3 linked regions of the Callithrix jacchus genome follow. The protein of the gene in region 1 binds, or shares a complex with, the protein of each later gene. Links are inferred from orthologs where the notes say so. Each region holds a gene or a part of one and is shown on either strand. Other genes may lie near its edges.

The links. The genes of interacting proteins can lie anywhere in the genome.
Region 2: the proteins of KIFBP (region 1) and KIF15 are in contact, whole or in part, in a cryo-EM structure (PDB 6ZPH), measured with the Homo sapiens proteins. The link is inferred for Callithrix jacchus from reciprocal best matches to the Homo sapiens genes KIFBP and KIF15. Residues at the interface, in NP_056449.1 of Homo sapiens: Lys26, Tyr33, Lys36, Ile106, Glu109, Ile147, Ser150, Glu151, Glu153, Thr208, His209, Tyr212, Tyr213, Gln216, Gln219, His220, Phe224, Gln238, Glu248, Trp249, Ile251, Asn252, Thr255, Gln258, Phe259, Asn262, Tyr415, Val416, Thr417, Glu421; in NP_064627.1 of Homo sapiens: Leu187, Glu189, Ile191, Lys192, Lys193, Arg231, Glu232, Arg235, Arg271, Met280, Arg281, Leu282, Lys283, Glu284, Ala285, Gly286, Asn287, Asn289, Arg290, Leu292, Ser293, Gly296, Gln297, Ile299, Ala301, Val303, Asp304, Val305, Gly306, His312.
Region 3: the proteins of KIFBP (region 1) and KIF18A are in contact, whole or in part, in a cryo-EM structure (PDB 7RSI), measured with the Homo sapiens proteins. The link is inferred for Callithrix jacchus from reciprocal best matches to the Homo sapiens genes KIFBP and KIF18A. Residues at the interface, in NP_056449.1 of Homo sapiens: Ser150, Glu151, Tyr212, Tyr213, Gln216, His220, Gln238, Ile251, Asn252, Thr255, Gln258, Asn262, Gly414, Tyr415, Val459, Asp460, Leu461, Asn462, Pro463, Gln464, Leu467; in NP_112494.3 of Homo sapiens: Glu181, Thr183, Gln184, Lys185, Gly186, Arg274, Phe275, Val276, Glu277, Gly278, Thr279, Asn280, Ile281, Arg283, Ser284, Leu285, Leu288, Gly289, Val291, Ile292, Arg314, Lys317, Asp318, Gly322, Asn323.

What each region holds. Positions count from the first base shown.
Region 1 is NC_133513.1:61,063,821-61,070,053, reverse strand, and holds the end of KIFBP (KIF-binding protein), read left to right. Parts: intron 1-1,993; exon of another isoform or gene 1,994-2,856; intron 2,857-3,554; exon of another isoform or gene 3,555-3,578; intron 3,579-4,463; coding exon 4,464-5,339; 3' UTR 5,340-5,911; downstream 5,912-6,233. UniProt on the Homo sapiens protein: Activator of KIF1B plus-end-directed microtubule motor activity. Required for organization of axonal microtubules, and axonal outgrowth and maintenance during peripheral and central nervous system development.
Region 2 is NC_133516.1:27,561,337-27,567,569, forward strand, and holds part of KIF15 (kinesin-like protein KIF15), read left to right. Parts: intron 1-749; coding exon 750-873; intron 874-1,787; coding exon 1,788-1,864; intron 1,865-2,107; coding exon 2,108-2,317; intron 2,318-3,149; coding exon 3,150-3,327; intron 3,328-5,359; coding exon 5,360-5,501; intron 5,502-6,168; coding exon 6,169-6,233. UniProt on the Homo sapiens protein: Plus-end directed kinesin-like motor enzyme involved in mitotic spindle assembly.
Region 3 is NC_133511.1:93,433,825-93,440,057, reverse strand, and holds part of KIF18A (kinesin-like protein KIF18A), read left to right. Parts: intron 1-2,471; coding exon 2,472-2,919; intron 2,920-3,625; coding exon 3,626-3,730; intron 3,731-6,233.

The DNA.
Region 1 (6,233 bases):
TTGTAACCTTTTCCCAGGTTCAAAGGATTTTCCTGCCTCCGCTTCCTGAATAACTGGGATTATGGGTCCCTGCCATCACACCTGGCTAATTTTTGTATTTTTAGTAGAGATGGGTTTCACCATGTTGGCCAAGCTGATCTTGAACTCCTGACCTCAAGTGATCCACCCATCTCGGCTTCCCAAAGTGCTGGGATTACAGGCGTGAGCCACTGCACCTGGCCAAGGCCTTATTAATCTTTATATATTTGTCAGTGTTATCTTACACACAGCATGAACTTGATAAAATCTAAAAGGGTAGACTTTTAAGAAATAGCCCATGTAATTGTTCAAAAATAGAAGCAGTGAAGAACATGGAGTCTGGAAACACACTAGGTAGGTGTGAACTCCAGCTCTGCCACTTCGTAGCTGTATCTTTGTGGCAATTTACTTAATATCTTTTTGCGTTTATTTCCTCACAAGTAAGTTGGAGATAATAGTTCTTACTTAATACTGTTGTTATGAGAGTTAAATCAGTATATATTAAGGCCTCTGAAAAGTGCCTGAGACATACTAAGTCCTTAATAAATGTTAACTATCATCATCATTATTAATTTATGCCCAATTCTAGTTCCTAACCAATAGGGAGGATAATAAAACTAATCATTTTGATGCAGTATACTAAGTGTGGATACATAGGAAGCTTTCCTGGGGGAATCATTGTGCTGCTGTTTTTCTTTGTGTGTATCAAAGCGTGATCATTTTTTTTTTTTTATTTTGTAGGACTCTGCTTCATAAAAGTGTAATGATCATTAGTGGTTGTATTAGTCTGTTCTCACACTGTTATAAAGAACTACCTGAGGCCAGGCGCAGCACCTCATACCTGTAATCCCAGCGCTTTGGGAGGCTAAGGTGGGCGGATCACTTGAGTTCATGAGTTTGAGACCAACCTGGGCAACATGTTGAAACCCTGTCTCTACCAAAAATACAAAAAAATTAGCCAGGCATGGTGGTGCGCACCTGTAGTCCCAGCTACTCAGGAGGCTGAGGCAGGAGAATCACTTGAGCTGGGAGGCAGAGGTCGCAGTGAGCCAAGATTGCGCCACTGCACTCCAGTCTGGGTGACAGAGTGAGGCCCTATCTCAAAAAAAAAAGTAATTTTCTTCATAAATTACCTAAAACTGGGTAATTTATGAAGAAAGGAGGTTAGTTGACTCCCATTTCCGCAGGTTTAACAGGAAGCATGACTGGGAGACTTCAGGAAACTCATAATCATGGCAGAAGGTGAAAGGGAAGGCATGTCTTACCATGGCAGAGCAGGAGAGAGAGAGAGCAAACCAGGAAATGCCACACACTTTAAACCCATCAGATCTTGTGAGAGAGCTCTGTCACTACCACAAGAACAGCAAGGAGGAAGTCTGCCCCCATGATCCAGTCACGTCCCACCAGGTCTCTCTGCCAATTTGACATGAGATTTGTTCAGGGACACAAATCCAGACCGTATCAGTGGTAAATAATGTAGAACTTTGTAAAACAAAAGAAAACTAAGCAAATAAACCTCAACACATCATCTTAGGTCTTGAAAAGATAAAGATCATTTTAGAGGCTAGTGGGTAAAGATGAGGCATATTAAGGAAAGACAGGCCTGGTGAGGTGGCTCTTGCCTGTAATCCCAGCACTTTGAGGGGCCAAGGCAGACGAATTACCTAAGGTCAGGAGACCGGCCTGGCCAACGTGGTGAAACCCCGTCTCTGCTGAAAATACAAAAATTAGCCAGGCATAGTGGCAGGTGCCTGTAATCCCAGCTACTCAGGAGGCTGAGGCAGGAGAATCGCTTGAACCAGGGAGGTGGAGGTTTCAGTGAGCCTAGATCATGCCATTACACTCCAGCCTGGGGACAAGAGCGAGACTTTGTCTCAAAAAAAACCAAAAAAACAAAATAGAAGAACTGTTGGGCTTTGTGTCTAGAGAATTTGGAGCCAGGAAGAACTGTCAGGTTTCTTCTCATCAGGTAAGGAAAACTGGAAGCAAAACAGGGACTATTGGAACAAAACAGTGGGCTAATTTAAGAAAGCATCCTAGAGAAAACAAGTAAATAAACAAGCAGCCCAGGAAGGAAGGAAGTATACAAAATTTAGAAACTTACGACCTACATTTGAAGTGACTGTATCAAGTAAAATGCACTGTGATTTGACCCTTATCTTTCATTTAGTTAATGCTTCTAGTCTAGGAACTTAGAACCTCATTACTTGATTAGTTTTAACTCACATATTTGCCATGCTACTAAATTACTCAGATTTTCCTTAAACTGATTTTTTTTTTGCATTATTTCATACTAGTTTATTTAGAGGTTCCGTTTTCACTCCTCAATAGATTTTATGTATTTCTTATATGCTTCTTCACTCATAAGTTCATCTAGTTCTGAAGGGTTACTCAGTGTCATCTTTATCAGCCAACCATCCTCATAACAAGATTTGTTTACATGTCCTGGATTTTCTGCAAGGGCTTCATTAATTTGAGTTACTTCTTCCGATAAAGGAGAATAGAGTTCACTAGCATCTTTCACAGTTTCCAAAGCATCAAATTCATCGTTTGTTCAATTTCGTGCCAACTTTAAGCTGACTACAGTAAACAATGTCTCCCAATGTTTCCTGTGCAAAATTGCTGATTCCCACTATTCCAATACCATTTTCTGTTGTTATCCATTCCTGTTTCTCTGTGAATTTACACACTGAGATCAGAGCGGGTCCCGTGCGCAGCATTGGGATGGCGCCTGCCCCCCAGCTGCCAGGACCAGGACCTTGGCAGGCAGGACGCTGCAGGTGACTGGACTGCGCACAGGGTGCAGAGAACGGCCCACACACTCCACACCACTCGCAGCTTTATGTTCGAAGGGGTACCCAGGTCGCAGCACTACGCCTCCACCACCCACGTGGAGAGGTGGGGCTGGGTGGGGCTGAATTTTGTTTTTTGAGTTGGGTTCTCTCTCACCTAGGCTGGAGTGCAGTGGCATGATCTCGGCTCACTGTAACCTCCACCTCTCTGGCTCAAGCGATCCTCCCACATCGGCCTGCCAAGTAACTGGGACCATCGGTGTGTGCCACTGTGCCTGGCTAATTCTTTGTATTTTTTTAGACCATGTTTCACTATGTTGCACAGGCTGATCTTAAACTCTTGAGCTCAAGCATCCACCCACATCGGCCTCCCAAAGTGCTGGGATTACTGGTGTGAGCCACTGCACTTGGCCCTGACTTTCTTATTTAACCTTAACTTCATTCTTTATCTATCTGTGTATTTATCTGAAAGGCCTTCTTCAGTTGAAGCTTAAAGACATACACAAATTTATTCAATTAAGTATTTATTTATGCCAACACTTTGCTAAATAAAAGTATCATTGGCCAAGGATACTATGATGAACAAAAATGGATTTAGCCTTTGACTTCATGTAAAAGTACAATTTTGTTAAGTTCCACAAAGGAGAGACACATGATATGAGAAGGCACAATAGGAGGAAATAAAAAGCAAGCTCTAGGGATGAGTGAGTAGGAGTTACCTAGACTGAAGAAAAGGAGGCACACCATTCCAAGGAGCTGAAACAGCATGTTTAGGAGTTCCCTAGCGTAAGGGAGGATGGTATCAGAAGGGATGGACCAAAGGCTTTGATGTTGGAGCTGGGGGAGAGGGAGTGTGATATAAGGTAAAGTTAGAGTTAGAAAGGGGTTGGAGCAATCAAGGCTTTGAAGCATTGTTGTCTTCATCTTTTGAACACTTAACCTTGAAGGGTTTGTGGAAAGATCACTAGTGAGACAATGTCAAGTGAAAAGAAGAAAAGGCCTTGGGATCTGTTATTTAATTTTATTGGCCAAGAAGAGCTTACTCTATTTTTTAACCATCTTAGTTCTTTTTTCTTTTCTTTTTTTAATTTGCTCCTCCTGCCAAAAGGCAGGGGAGATAAATAAAACTTTATGAAGTAGATTTAACTCTTTCTTCACTTTGATGTCTTTAAGAGACCTAGAGCATTTCTCTCTGATATATTTCATTAAAAGCTTAACAGCATAAACATGGTAGCATTAATCTTAATTGCATCCTTGTGAAATATTTTTATGTAGATTACAGTCTTATTACAATGTTAAAAAATAAATACTGTTAATATATCATGTGAATGTAATGTTTCACAATTTTCAAAGTACTTTTACATGTAACATTTATCTTACTGGAAGGAGTAACTGTAAATGAATTTCAGTTCCTTAGAATAAATTATATATAAGCAGCTTGTCTAATTTATTTAAATACTCTTTTTTCACATTTGCTGAGTTTTTAATATGATTGGAAGAAAGAAAGTAGTTTTCAAAGGTGTTTAAGATTATGATACCTCCCTAAACCAGGCTGGAAAGTAAGAGACTTTTCTTTACTCTGAAGTTTGCTTTAATATTTTTTAACAACAGGAGGTGAGCGTTCTACTTAACCATAATTTCTTTTTTCTTCAGGACAACATAGGAGAGCTTGACCTAGATAAACAGTCTGAACTTAGAGCTTTAAGGAAAAAAGAACTGGATGAGGAGGAAAGCATTCGGAAAAAAGCTGTGCAATTTGGAACTGGTGAACTGTGTGATGCCATCTCTGCAGTAGAAGAGAAAGTGAGCTACTTGAAACCTTTAGATTTTGAAGAAGCCAGAGAACTTTTCTTATTGGGTCAGCACTATGTCTTTGAGGCCAAACAGTTCTTTCAGATTGATGGTTATGTCACTGACCATATTGAAGTTGTCCAAGACCACAGTGCTCTGTTTAAGGTGCTTGCATTCTTTGAAACTGACATGGAGAGACGGTGCAAGATGCATAAACGCAGAATAGCCATGCTAGAGCCCCTAACTGTAGACCTGAATCCACAGTATTATCTGTTGGTCAACAGACAGATCCAGTTTGAAATTGCACATGCTTACTATGATATGATGGATTTGAAGGTCACCATTGCTGACAGGCTAAGGGATCCTGATTCACACATTGTAAAAAAAATAAATAATCTTAATAAGTCAGCATTGAAGTACTACCAGCTCTTCTTAGACTCCCTGAGAGACCCAAATAAAGTATTTCCTGAGCATATAGGGGAAGATGTTCTTCGCCCTGCCATGTTAGCGAAGTTTCGAGTTGCCAGTCTCTATGGCAAAATCATTACTATGGATCCCAAGAAAGAGCTGGAAAATCTGGCAACATCATTGGAACATTACAAATTTATTGTTGATTACTGTGAAAAGCATCCTGAGGCTGCCCAGGAAATAGAAGTTGAGCTAGAACTTAGTAAAGAGATGGTTAGTCTTCTCCCAGCAAAAATGGAGAGATTCAGAACCAAGATGGCCCTGACTTAATCCCTGCTTTTAAAGAAAGGAAATGCATAATGTTGAAGTGATCTTTTTCCCTAGTCAAACTGGCGCAATTCCATTGTGATGTTTACCTTTATAGCCAGTTGAGTGCAGTTTGAGCTTGAAATACAGTAAACTGAGTGTTTGCTAGGATCCTAAGGAACATAAAGTTAATTAATAATTTACACCTAATTATGTAAATTGCCTTGTTAAAGACATGTGATTTTTGTATTTTCGATGCTTGTTTCTATTTAAATATAAACCTTTTTAAATGTAGATTATTTGTTGGCTAGTACTTGATAGATTCCTTGTAAGAAAAAATGCTGGGTAATATACCTGGTAGTCAAGTCTGTTACTGTATTAAAATTGAAAAAGTAACTCTGTAGTTACTCTTTCTAAAATATTTGATTTCCTAAATTCCCCCCACTCAAAATCTTTCCCTTTTGAAAATACTAAAAACTAAGTTATGTTATTATAAAGTGTAAAATGGTTTGTCTCAATTATAGGAGCAAAAGGCCTTGTTGGAAAGAAAATAAACAGACTTATTTCACTAATAAAAACTTCCATTTCCCCTTTTATTTTCTTGTGAGCATTGGTTTTATTTTTTTGATACCTCAGAGATATTAGCATATTTGAAACTAGAGAGGAATATTTTTTCAATAACATTACAAAGTTAGAAAACATTAAAATATCATTCATGGCTGAGTGCGGTGGCTCATGCCTGTAATCCCAGCACTTTGGGAGGCTGAGGTGGGAGGATCACTTGAACCCATCTCGACAAAACATACAAAAATTAGATGGGGCATGATGCCACCTGCCTGTAATCCCAGCTTCTTGGGAGGCTAAAGTGGGAGGATTGCTTGAGCCCAGGAGGCCAAGGCTGCAGTAAACCATAATTGC
Region 2 (6,233 bases), on another chromosome or scaffold:
AAACTTTATAGCAGTTTTAGGTTCACTGCAAAATTGAACAGAACTTACAGAGAGATCCCATATATTCCCTGTCACCACACATGTGTGACCTCCCTCACTCCTGACATCCCCATAGTGGCACATTTTGTTTGGGAGCCCTTTAGCCTTTTAGGAGTTGTCTTAAAGAAGACATTTCTTTTAGAAAATGAAGGTATCATTTAGTGTGGTTAAAAAAAAAAAATGGAAGTGTCAAACCAACCCCTTCTTCCAAGAGGGTTATTAAAAAATAAAGGTTGGATTCCTCTGGGGAAGGTTGCTTCTGCCGAGCTCAAGCAAGCCCTGCATGTCACCACAGGCTTAGAGGCTTGGCTCCTTCCCCATAGGGAGCTAGGAAAGAGTGGAAATGATACTCATTAGGTGTTTGCTCTTCTCCATTGGGAGGGTGGGGAAAGGCTGTTGTTCTCAGGGAAGGAAGTGTTAGGTGAACACACCCGGATCCAAAGTGTGACCCAGCCTAACAGCTCAGGGCTGGTCAGCTGCAGGGAAGAGAGCTTGCCTGAGGCTGTCTCTGGTTCCAGATCTGAAGGCACAAGAAAAGGAATCTTCCTCCCCATTCGAACATACTGTAATTCCTGTGGCCTTTTGACTATTAGGTGGTCATGAAGTTTTGTTTGATGTTAATCACTACAAATCATACCAAGCAAATGTAAACACAGAACTCTACTACTCAAAAAGCATTATTTAATGCTTCTTAAAAAATTCTTGAACAGGCAGTAGTAAATGAAGACACCCAAGGAAATGTGAGCCAGCTCCAAGCTGAAGTAAAGAGGCTCAAAGAACAACTGGCTGAGCTTGCTTCAGGACGGACACCACCAGAAAGCTTCCTGACCAGAGGTACGATGAGTATGCTGGCCTTTATCTTGGGGAAGACTGTGTACAAATAATAGTTTAAGAGCCCTTGGTGATAGACACACACAGTAAGGCAGCACAGCTTTTTCCACGAGTATCTCTTTCTGCTTATTTCTCCTATGTAGGAACATAGTGCTTTGTTTGTAATCAGATACAGATACCATAGGCAGTGAGTTCTGTGAGATATGGTAGAAGGAGGAATTAAGATAATTTTTAATAATCCATAATAAGTACTAAAAAGAGATTCACTTAGATCTGCTTCTCCATAGCATATGTAATCTATATATGCTTACTATAAGACAAGAGAGAATTATTTTTCTTCAAAGAATAGCTAGTGGATAATTAAGTAACTGGAAATCCATAAAGCCAAGAGGGTGAATTATTAATAGATCTAAAGAGAAACTTATTTTTCTTTGAAGAACAACTAATATGTGGAATGATTAATTTGAAATCCATGATCTGGTGATGACAGTCTCTCTCTCTCTTTTTTTTTTTTTTTGAGATGGAGTCTCGCTGTGTTGCCCAGGCTGAAGTGTAGTGGCACAATCTTGGCTCATTGCTACTTCTGCCTCCTGGGCTTAAGTGGTTCTCCCGCCTCAGCCTCCTGAGTAGCTGGGACTACCAGCACACACCACCATGTCCAGCTAATTTTTATATTTTTAGTAGAGACAGGGTTTCACCATATTGGTCAGACTGGTCTCAAACTCCTGACCTCAAGTGATCCACCGGCCTCGGCCTCCTAAAGTGCTGGAATTACTGGCATGAGCCACCATGCCCGGCCACAGTCTCATTCTTTTAGATTAGTTGAGAGCAAGCAATTAACGGCTATCTGTTCTCTTGGTTTTGAAATGTGTTAAATATTTTTTTTCTTCTTCCCTTTCTTACTGGATCAATTACAGACAAAGAGAAGACTAACTATGTGGAATATTTCCGGGAAGCAATGCTATTCTTTATGAAATCTGAACAGGAAAAGAAGGTAGGAAATTGAATTAGTAATAAAGGAGATTCAGGATATTTGAGGTTTTCACTATGTGGTTTTAATTGCCTTACTAAGTGAAATAAATAATACCAAGTAAATAAAGAAAGTAATGGAAGGCCATGAGAAATCTAATTTTGTTTTTAAGATTAAATTTGAAGTTAGTATTTGTTGCTGGGCTTATAAAAATATAGGTAAGCTGAATTATTTTTCATGTTTAACCAAATTATGAATTTCTTTAAGTCTCTGATAGAAAAAGTTACCCAATTAGAAGACCTCACCCTCAAAAAGGAAAAATTTATTCAGTCTAATAAAATGATTGTGAAATTCCGAGAGGATCAAATAATACGCTTGGAAAAGCTTCACAAGGAATCCCGGGGAGCTTTTCTGCCTGAGGAGCAGGATCGTTTGCTCTCAGAATTAAGGGAAGAGATTCAAACTCTGCGAGAACAAGTGAGTATAGGGCATCTATAATATTTCTAAAAATAAAAGAAGTTCCAATGTAAATTTGTCACCAAGTCCTTGTTCTTTAATGCAATAGAAATTGTTGTAAATGAATTCTACTGACAGTGTGATTGCATAAATCCTTTACCTGCCTTTTCAAAATAGTTTTAAAGGGAAGAGTAGGGAAAAAGGAAGAATTTGTGGTGACGTCACTAGGTAGTATGCAACTCCAGCAGGCCATGCAGAATTTCACCCCATGGGCGGTTGTGGTTATCTGAGTCAGTTGCCTCTTTAGAGTTGTGCCTTTTAAATTTTTTGTCGTTTTTCCTTTTCCCTAGGAATGACGGATAGGTCATGCAGGTACATTGTGGAAAAAAACAAAATCTCTTCTCAGCTTATTTATCTCTCCAGAGTTTTAATGAACATTCAAACTAATATGGGTGGATGGATATTTTTACTTTTGTTTCTCCTATACATTTTTCTGTGCTTTGCTTTTTTCAGTTAATCTTGGTCAACAAGATTCATTTGGTCCTTGTTATTTTCGGTGTGTTGATTTAACTAGTCTCCTTTGCATGAAAAGCCTTCCATAATGTATACCCTTGTGCTTACCTCCTTAGGTGGGTGAACATTTCAAGGGTCTAGACGCCAAATGAGAATAGCAGAGTTACAAGACACGCATATTTTCAAACTCATCACAAATGCCAAGTTGCTTTCCACAGTGGTTGCAGAAGGGCACCACTAGCAGTGCATGTGCATACCTAGTTTTCTAATGGCTTTTTAGAGGAACTAATTCACTTAGGAAATGTAAATATATAATGCATGTTATTCTTCTGTGTCACAGATAGAGCACCATCCCAGAGTTGCCAAGTATGCTATGGAAAATCATTCCCTCAGGGAAGAGAACAGAAGACTGAAATTATTAGAGCCTGTGAAAAGAGCCCAAGAAATGGATGTCCAGACTATTGCAAAACTAGAAAAAGCTTTCTCTGAAATAAGTGGCATAGAGAAAAGTGACAAAAGTAAGAAATGATTGTTGTATATAAAGCCGTATAGGAATGGGCTGTTAAAGAGCATTTGTAGTACCTTGTGACTAGGGTCTTCATTTTAGCCTCCAGGCCTGCTGTGCTGATGTCTTATACACATATTCTTTTATTTTATAAAAAGGCATTTACTAAACTTTTTTTCCTCAAAAATCTCAGAGCATAAACTATGTAAGCTAATAGATATAACAAGAAAATACTCATTGTATTTCTGTTTTGTTGATAGAAATATCGATTCAGATAATACAAATTTTTATTAAATTTTCCTGTTTAAAGTATTTGAAATGAAAAGTGCTTAACTAATCAAACATGAAAAAACATAGAGTTTATCAATCCAGTTAGGTCCGTGCAATATAAGAGATGTAGAGAGGTCAGACTCATAATCCATCCAGTACAGCGTTTGGGTCCTGATGTTGTGGTACCAGTGTACTCACTCTGTTTTTACATGTTACTTTCATGAGTTTCACATACTATGTGAAAAGTGGTTTAGTTAGTACTAAATCTGCCTTATAGGCTTGACAGCTGTTGGTGTTAGTGCCCTGGGATTTAGTAACAAAGCCTGTGTTTGCCCAGTATTAGAGTTAATATTTCCATGGTATTTTATCATAGACTTGGCATTTGTTTCATTTTAGGTTGAAATTGAGAAAGTTCTAATCTTTTTTTTTTCTACATTCATAAAGAAGACTATCTCTTTGCTTTTTAAAATTTCATTTTTTTTAAACCGTCCATTCTGTTATGACTGAATAGAATAAGATTCAGAGTAACTGGGTTGGGGAAAGACTAAGATGTTAGATGCAGAATTACTATCAGGTTTTCTGTTTTTTTTTGAGCCATAGGTTTTCTGTTGTTTTTTGAGAAGGAGGTTTTCTGTTGTTTTTTCTCACTTTGTTGCCTAGGCTATAGTGCAATCTCTGCTCACTGCAACCTCTACCTCCTACGTTCAAGCGATTCTTTTGCGTCAGCCTCCCTCCTGGAATTACAGGCATACACCACCGTGCCGAGCCAATTTTTATATTTTTGGTAGAGATAGAGTTTTGCCATATTGGCTAGGCTGGTCTTGAACTTCTGGCCTCAAATGATCCACTGGCCTTGGCCTCCCAAAGTGCTGGGATTACAGGTGTGAGCCACCATGCCTCCCTTAGGTTTTCTGTTTTATTTAAACTACTTTTCCCTACAATGCCCTTTATTTTGTTGACCATTTTGTTTTGGGCCCTGTGGTACCTTGACTTACTCCTTTTAGAAGATACTAATGTCTGGATCTCATCAGTTTCTAAACATTTATCATTCTGTAAACAACTTTTACATGAGATTTCCCCACACTGCAACTCAGTGGACTCTCTTCAACATAGTCTTCTAAGCATTTTCTGAAAATTAATATTTTCTACCTGACACATGATACTGGGTTCTTACAACCTGCTGCCCTTGCTATATGTTACTTTTCTAAATAATTTCTTGGCTGTTAACATTAGCTGCTACTTATTCCTGCAAGATTCAATGGCTGCTGTTTCTCCAGCTAGTATTAAATGTGCCATACTTTTGTCATTGTTTGTTCATCCTCATAATGGAAAAGGTGTTGTCTTAACTATGCTTCTCCATCCTGTGGCTTCTGCTTCTTAAACATGACTTCTAATCCCCTTTGGCACACTGTGTCACATCCTGTGCCTTCTGCTTAGTTATAAGCTTTTATATTTTAGGGCTCACCTTCCAACCCACTTCTCATTTTTCCTCCTTGTGGCCCAAATTTTCCTCCTGTGACAGAGAACTTAGAAAATGTGTCCTGTTATTTTTCTTTTTCAAACACTGAAGTTGTAAAGATAGGGATGGTGGCATGCATCTGCAGTCCCAACTGCTTGGGAGGCTAAAGCAGGAAGATCACTTCAGACCAGAATTTGGGGCTTTACTACACTATGATCATGCTTGCGAATAGCCACTGCACTCTAGCCTGGGCAACATAGTGAGGCCCTGTCTTGGAAAAAAAAAAAAAAGACTTAGATTATTTTCTTATTAACAGATCAGCAAGGATTTTCTCCTAAAGCTCAGAAAGAGCCATGTTCATTTGCAAACACTGAGAAGTTAAAAGCACAACTCCTGCAAATTCAGACAGAGCTGAATAATTCAAAGCAAGAATATGAAGAATTCAAAGAACTTACTAGGTAAAGTCTAAATACACAAGCATGCACGCTGGTTTTCTTTTAGTGTTCACTTGTTGTAGTGTTAATATTGATCAGTTGGGCATTTTACTTTAAATATTAAACTCTCATAGTAGCAACTACTTGGTCATGAAGAAAAAGAGCATGCTTCTAGCTCTTTACTAATATATTTAATGCACTAGGTGTTTTAAGCAGATTTTTCCTGTTGAGATGTCTGTTGAACTTACATAGTAAATTATTTAAATTTAAATTTGTTAATCAGAGTTGGTAAGATTTTTAAGAAGTTTAGGTTTGTTAATATTCCTACTTGATTTTCATTATGTAAAAGCAAAAATAAATCACATTCATATTATAACTAAGATAAATCTTACCCTAAAATATAGATAAATGTTTGGTTCAGAAATGACATATCACATATGGTATCATCATGGACTATCTGGACTTTTGAATTTGAGCTCTACCATTTACTAGTTGAATCCCTTAAACAATCATCAGTCTCTGAGCTGTAGTTTACCGAACTGGAGAATGAAGGGAATAATCTGAGAGAATAGAGAATATTTCTGATTTAGAGATAACTATAAAGTTATGCAAGAGCATAAACTGTAAAGTACTCTATAAATGTTTGACATTACTTATTACATGAAATACTTGGTTTTACAATATCTCTTAGGAAAAGGCAGCTAGAATTGGAATCAGAGCTTCAGTCTTTGCAAAAAGCGAACCTTAATCTTGAGA
Region 3 (6,233 bases), on another chromosome or scaffold:
AAATGTCATGTTAAAGGAAGTGGAAAATTATTTTAAGATCTGGATCTCATTTATCTAGTTCTCAGAAAAGTAAAATTCCTTAAAAGAACAGGGATCATATTTTTCTTCTGTTTTTAAATTTTATTTCCTAGAGGGTAATTATCAACCTAGCCATAGCAGAGCATATTGTCAAGTAATATAATAAGAATAATACATGTACTGTTGCTGATTGCTTTAGGTGTATTTTCTAACTTGGTTGAAAGTTTGAATTGCTTTATTGAAATGAGCAACACTTATTCTGCTTTCAATGTTCTTTAAGTTAGTATTATGTAGTAAAGTAAATATAACATCAACTGGGAATTTTACTTCATGATCAGACAGCATGAATGGAAATACACATAGTTTCTTCCATTGACAGTACACTCCAAAAAAAGTATTTTGTGTCAGACATCATGAAGTTCACCAGAATGAAGTAGGTAGAGAAAAGTTAATTGAAAAATTTAAGATAATCACACTGAAGTTGATCAACTGTATTGTTACATATGTCATTTATTATTTTGAACATTAATAAAAGGTGTTTACCAGATGCTCGTGTTTTTAAATGTTAAGTATTAAATACTAAATCTAATATTGTAAACAATTTGTTTCTTAATTTTGGAGCAAGGACCATGAATTCCCCAACTAAAAATAATAGCATATTTTGTTTCTGTTTAAAGGTTACTACAAAGTCTTTAATCAGAAGGATGACATAAACAAAATTATGTTTTAACTATAAGCATAAGAAAGACAGAAGTGAGGGCCGGGCATGGTGGCTCACGCCTGTAATCCCAGCACTTTGGGAGGCCGAGGCGGGTGGATCACAAGGTCAAGAGATCGAGACCATCCTGGTCAACAAGGTGAAACCCCATCTCTACTAAAAAGACAAAAAATTAGCTGGGCATGGTGGCGCGTGCCTGTAATCCCAGCTACTCAGGAGGCTGAGGCAGGAGAATTGCCTGAACCCAGGAGGTGGAGGTTGCGGTGAGCCAAGATCGCGCCATTGCACTCCAGCCTGGGTAACAAGAGCGAAACTCTTTCTCAAAAAAAAGAAAAAAGAAAGAAAGACAGATTGATAGAGATTGGGAAATGCAAGGGAAAAGGAAAAGAAAACAAAAATCTAGTAATTTGGAACCCAGGTGACAGAAGGTAATAATAAAAGTGTAATTAGAAATATGAGAAACTGTGGAACAAGACAACTAGAGAGTCAAGTACAGCTCCTTAGGGAAATGTGTACATTTACTGGATGGAAGAAGAAGAGAATAACACAGATGTTGAAATAGTAAAGATATAATTTTGAAAAGCTACAGAAGCTATTAGATACAGCTAAGAAAGATCATCAGACTTGGTGACCTCTTGACATTTAGGAGATTGACTTCTACAGAGTGGTGAGGGTAAAAGTACTCTGAACTCGGAGTTATTTCATTTATCTTTAGTATTAAATCTCATTTTTGCAAACCTATGAGTTGCGTATTATATAGGAGACAAATCAGTTAACTAGACTGCATAACTGACTATAGTTTTCTCTCAGTATCCTGGGGATAAGCACGTTGATTCCAGGAACCCATCCAGATACCAAAATCTATGAATGCTCAAGTCCCTTACATAGAATGGCATAGTATATAGGCTACACATATCCTTCTGTGTACTTTAAATCATCTCTAGATTACTTATAATACCTAATCCAATACAAATGCCATAAAATGGTTGTTATACTATATATTTTTATTTTTTTTTTTAATTTTGGTTTGTTTGTTTTCTGAATATTTTCAGTGTGCAGTTGGTTGAATCCACAGATGCAGAATCTGCAGCTACCCAGGGTTAACTCTGTATACCTGACACTTAACAAAAACAATCCTTTCATTCACTCAGAATTTTACTGGTTGTTTCCATTCTTGTTAATTTAGACTAGACTTCCACTCAATTAGTAATAAACTGACCACGGACACCCAAATACTAGCATCACCCAGTATTCTCATATAACAAACCTATGCATGTACCCTTGAATCTAAAAAACAAGACAAAAGTAATAAACTAATAACATTTTACGATGGAACAAGTGTTTAAAAAACAGTATTAAAAGTTGAATACTATTTTCATCTTAAACCCAAATCAAACATGAAAGCTAGGAATTATGAATTTTGTTGGAATTGAATGGAAATTTGTTCCCTAATTACCCAATATCTCAAGAAAGTTATGCCTATAAATTAATATTGACATTAGCAATGTATTTATTTTATGTTATAGAATTTCTTTATAATGAGTTTATCAACTTTATTTAAAGTTTTTAGTAGTTAACTATGATATTTTCCTTTCCAACTTATATTTTTCAGATTTTTATCAATTGCCATAAGAATACATTATTAGGGTTTGTTAGTTTTAAAACTAATGGAGTTATTTTTTAAAAACTAGGAAACATTATTGAGTGTCTTTTTTATTTTTTATTTTTTGAACAGGCACATCTTCAAGTGAATCTAATCTGCTTAAGATTCCTCCACAAAAAAGAACTCGGAGAAAACTAATGCCATCTCCCTTGAAAGGACAGCATACTGTAAAATCTCCATTATCTGAAAGTGTGCAGCTCAATGATTCTCTTTGTAAAGAACTTCAGCCTATTGTGTATACACCAGAAGACTGTAGAAAAACTTTTCAAAATCCATCTACAGTAACTTTAATAAAACCATCATCATTTACGACAAGTTTTCAGGCTATCAGCTCAAACATAAACAGTGGTAATTCTCTGAAAATGTTGTGTGAAGTAGCTATCCCTCATAACAGAAGAGAAGAATGTGGACAGGAGGTCTTGGACTCTACATTTACTATATGTGAAGACACCAAGAGCTTACAGTGTAAATTACCTGAACAAGAATCACTACTAAATGACAACAAAAACATTTTACAACGGTACAAAAAAAGTTTGCCAATTCTTTTTTTTTCTTAATGTAGACTTTCAACTATTAGTTGAGATTATTTGATAAACCACATGTGCTATTTTGATTATAAAACAGTCTGTTTTACTTTCATTAAATTTTAATTATTTTTCTCTCTGAATATTAACTCACTAACACAATATTTTAAAGTCTTAAATTTGATATCTTAAGTCAATTGACCCTCATTAGACTACCAGAGACCTTAAGATATATGTTAGTTTGTTCTCTTACCCTGAAATTGGGTTATAAAAGCTGTCATTGGCAGCTTATTATGTTTATTTATTAATATTTTCACTGAAGGAAATTCCACACTTTCTATTAAAAACTCATCTTACTCTGAAATAGTCATATCGCTAAAGTATGGTTGAATGTGTGTCATCCAAGCAAACATATCCTTCTCACTTTATCTGTATAATCATGCCCAATCTAAATATCGAAAGAAAAATACCTTCACTATTCTATGCCATTGGGAATGAAGAAATCTCTTGATAGCAACTTTACGTATATTAAAAAGAGAAAAGAAAACCCCAGTCAAGCAAGAAAATCTGTATGGTATAGCAGAATGTTTTTCTTTATATATTAATAACAAATAGTTTTCTAATTATGGTAATGTTTGCTTCCTTTTTTCTTCATAGTTTAAATCAAAATTATTATATTTTATTTGTCACTTTGATATACAGGCTTGACCCTTCATTCTCATCTAAGCAGTCTATGCCTATACGAAGCATGGTGCCATCCTACATGGCAATGACTGCTGCTGCCAAAAGGAAACGGAAATTAGCAAGGTATGATTAAACATAAACTGGATGGGTTTCTATAGTTATATAAGATCATCTTTATATGTTGTTTTCTGTTGCTTTTTTATTTTTTGTAATTAGACTCAATTCATATTTAAGCATACTTGGGATAAATTGCCCTGAATGGGGTACTGGATTTATATTATCAAAGGAAGATCTTGAAAAACTCAAGTATTTCACTTGATATTTATATAAAGTATTTCATATTTCTGAGTTTTACAAATAAAAAGTTTTCTAGCTTTCAAAAACTACTTAATTTTAACTTTTCAGGGCTGACAGTTTTTACTTATTTGTATTATCCTTTCTAAACATTACCAAATTTCTTCCATCTTAGAATTATGTTATTTTAATGGCTTATGATATGTGACTAATATATAATGAATGAAGAGACTTTTACTTCTTCCTAAGACAATTTAGCTTTTATCAGACCAAGTTGCTCAGCAAGAACAATTATTAGGAGTACGTAAAATAGAACCAACAGCTGCTTGAAGGCAATGGAGAACAACCATGGTAGCCAGGATTGAGAGACTAAGATCCCAGAGAAAAAGGAAACATGCTATAGACAGCCAGACTTTCTCTGCCTCTTTTTTTTATTTAGCATTTGCCAATTTATGGCATAAGGCATAGAGGCCAAACAGAAAATGGAAACTTAGAGCTATCAGCAGTGTTACTGAGCTAGGGAAACAACTGTTCTGTGCGGTTTTTATCCCCAAGGCATTTGCCAAGTTCTCAGCTTTGTGGAATGCAAGGCTAAGCCACCAAGCTGAAAGTAGCTGCTAAGAAGCTAAAGCAAACAGAACACACTGCCATGTGTGTACCTATGCAACTGTATTGCATGCTCTGCACATGTACCCCAAAACCTAAAATGCAATAAAAAAATAAGAAAATAAATAAATAAATAAATAAATATATACCTATTGATTAAATATAAAAAAAAAAAGAAGCTAAAGTATTAAGCAGAGTTTTGACATTCTTATGAAGCTTTCACAGAAAAATTGGAGTTCGGGGACTACCATAAACAAGAGGCCCTGAAGGGTGTTTCAGCTAGAAGTAGGGCAAACTAGAAATAGGCCAGTTCTTGGAAGTCTGAAACGGACCTTAGACCAACTCAATTCTTGATTGGATCAAGGTGATTTATCTTGGCTCTGCTTGCCACAGGAAAATTAAATTATCTCTGGAAGAATATACCATCTGGAACCTCTATAGTTTTTTTTATATCAATGTTTCACACTTAAACAAAAATTACAAAGTATGCCAGGAGACAGGACCAAATGACTAAAATTTAAGAGAAAAAAAAAAATCATAGGAGCAGTGATTCATACGTGAGGCAGATACTGGGATTATCAGATAGGAATTTAAAATTTTAACTGTAATAATTTCAACAAATACATTCTTTCCCAAAGAACCAGACTCTCTTAAAATTAATCAAATGGATATTCTAGAACTGAAAATACAGAATTTACTGAGATTAAGAACTCAATACATCAATTTAGCAGATTAGGTACAGCAGAAGAGAGTAATAGTGAACCGAAAGATAGATTTGTTTTTAATTTTTGTAAGTACATAGTAGGTGTATGTATTATGGGGTGCCTGAGATATTTTGATACAAGTATACAATGTGTAATAATCACATCAGTGTAAATGTGGTATCTATCACCTCAAAGATTTATCCTTTGTGTTATAAACAATCTAATTATACTTAGTTATTTTTTAAAGGTACAATACATTATTGTTGACTATAGTCACCCTGTTGCGCTATCAAATGCTAGATATTATTCATTAGATTGCTTAATTAACCATCTCCCCAGTCTCCAGCAACCGTCACAGTAACCATCTTCCCCAGTCTTCCGAAAAACCCTTCCCAGCCTCTGGTAACTATCATTCTACTCTTTTTCTCCATGAGTTCAATTTATTTAATTTTTAACTTCCCCAAAATGAGTGAGAACATGCCAAGTTTGTCTTTCTGTACATGGCTTATTTCACTTAATATAATTACCACCAGTTCCATCCATGTTGTTGCAAATGACCAGGTCTCATTTTTGTTTCACAGCGGAATAGTATTTAATTGTGTATACATACCATATTTTCTTTATTTATTTGTTGATGGGCACTTAGGTTGCTTCCAAATCTTGGCTATTGTGAATAGTGCTGCAATAAACATGGTAGTGCAGTTATCTCTTCATTATACTGATTTTGTTTCATTTTTGTATACATCTACCAGGGGAATTGCTGGATCATATGGTAGCTCTATTTTTAGTTTTTGAGGAATCTTTAAACTTTCTTTTTAGTGGTACCAATTTATATCCCCGTGAACGGTATACAAGTATTCCCTTTTCTCCACATCCTCGCCAGTATTTGCTGTTGCCTATCTTTTGGATAAAAGCCATTTTAACTGGTGAGATGATATCTCATTATTGTTTTGATTTACATCTTTCTGATGATCAGTGATGCCGAGTTCCTTTTCATATGCCTGTTTCCATTTGTATGTCTT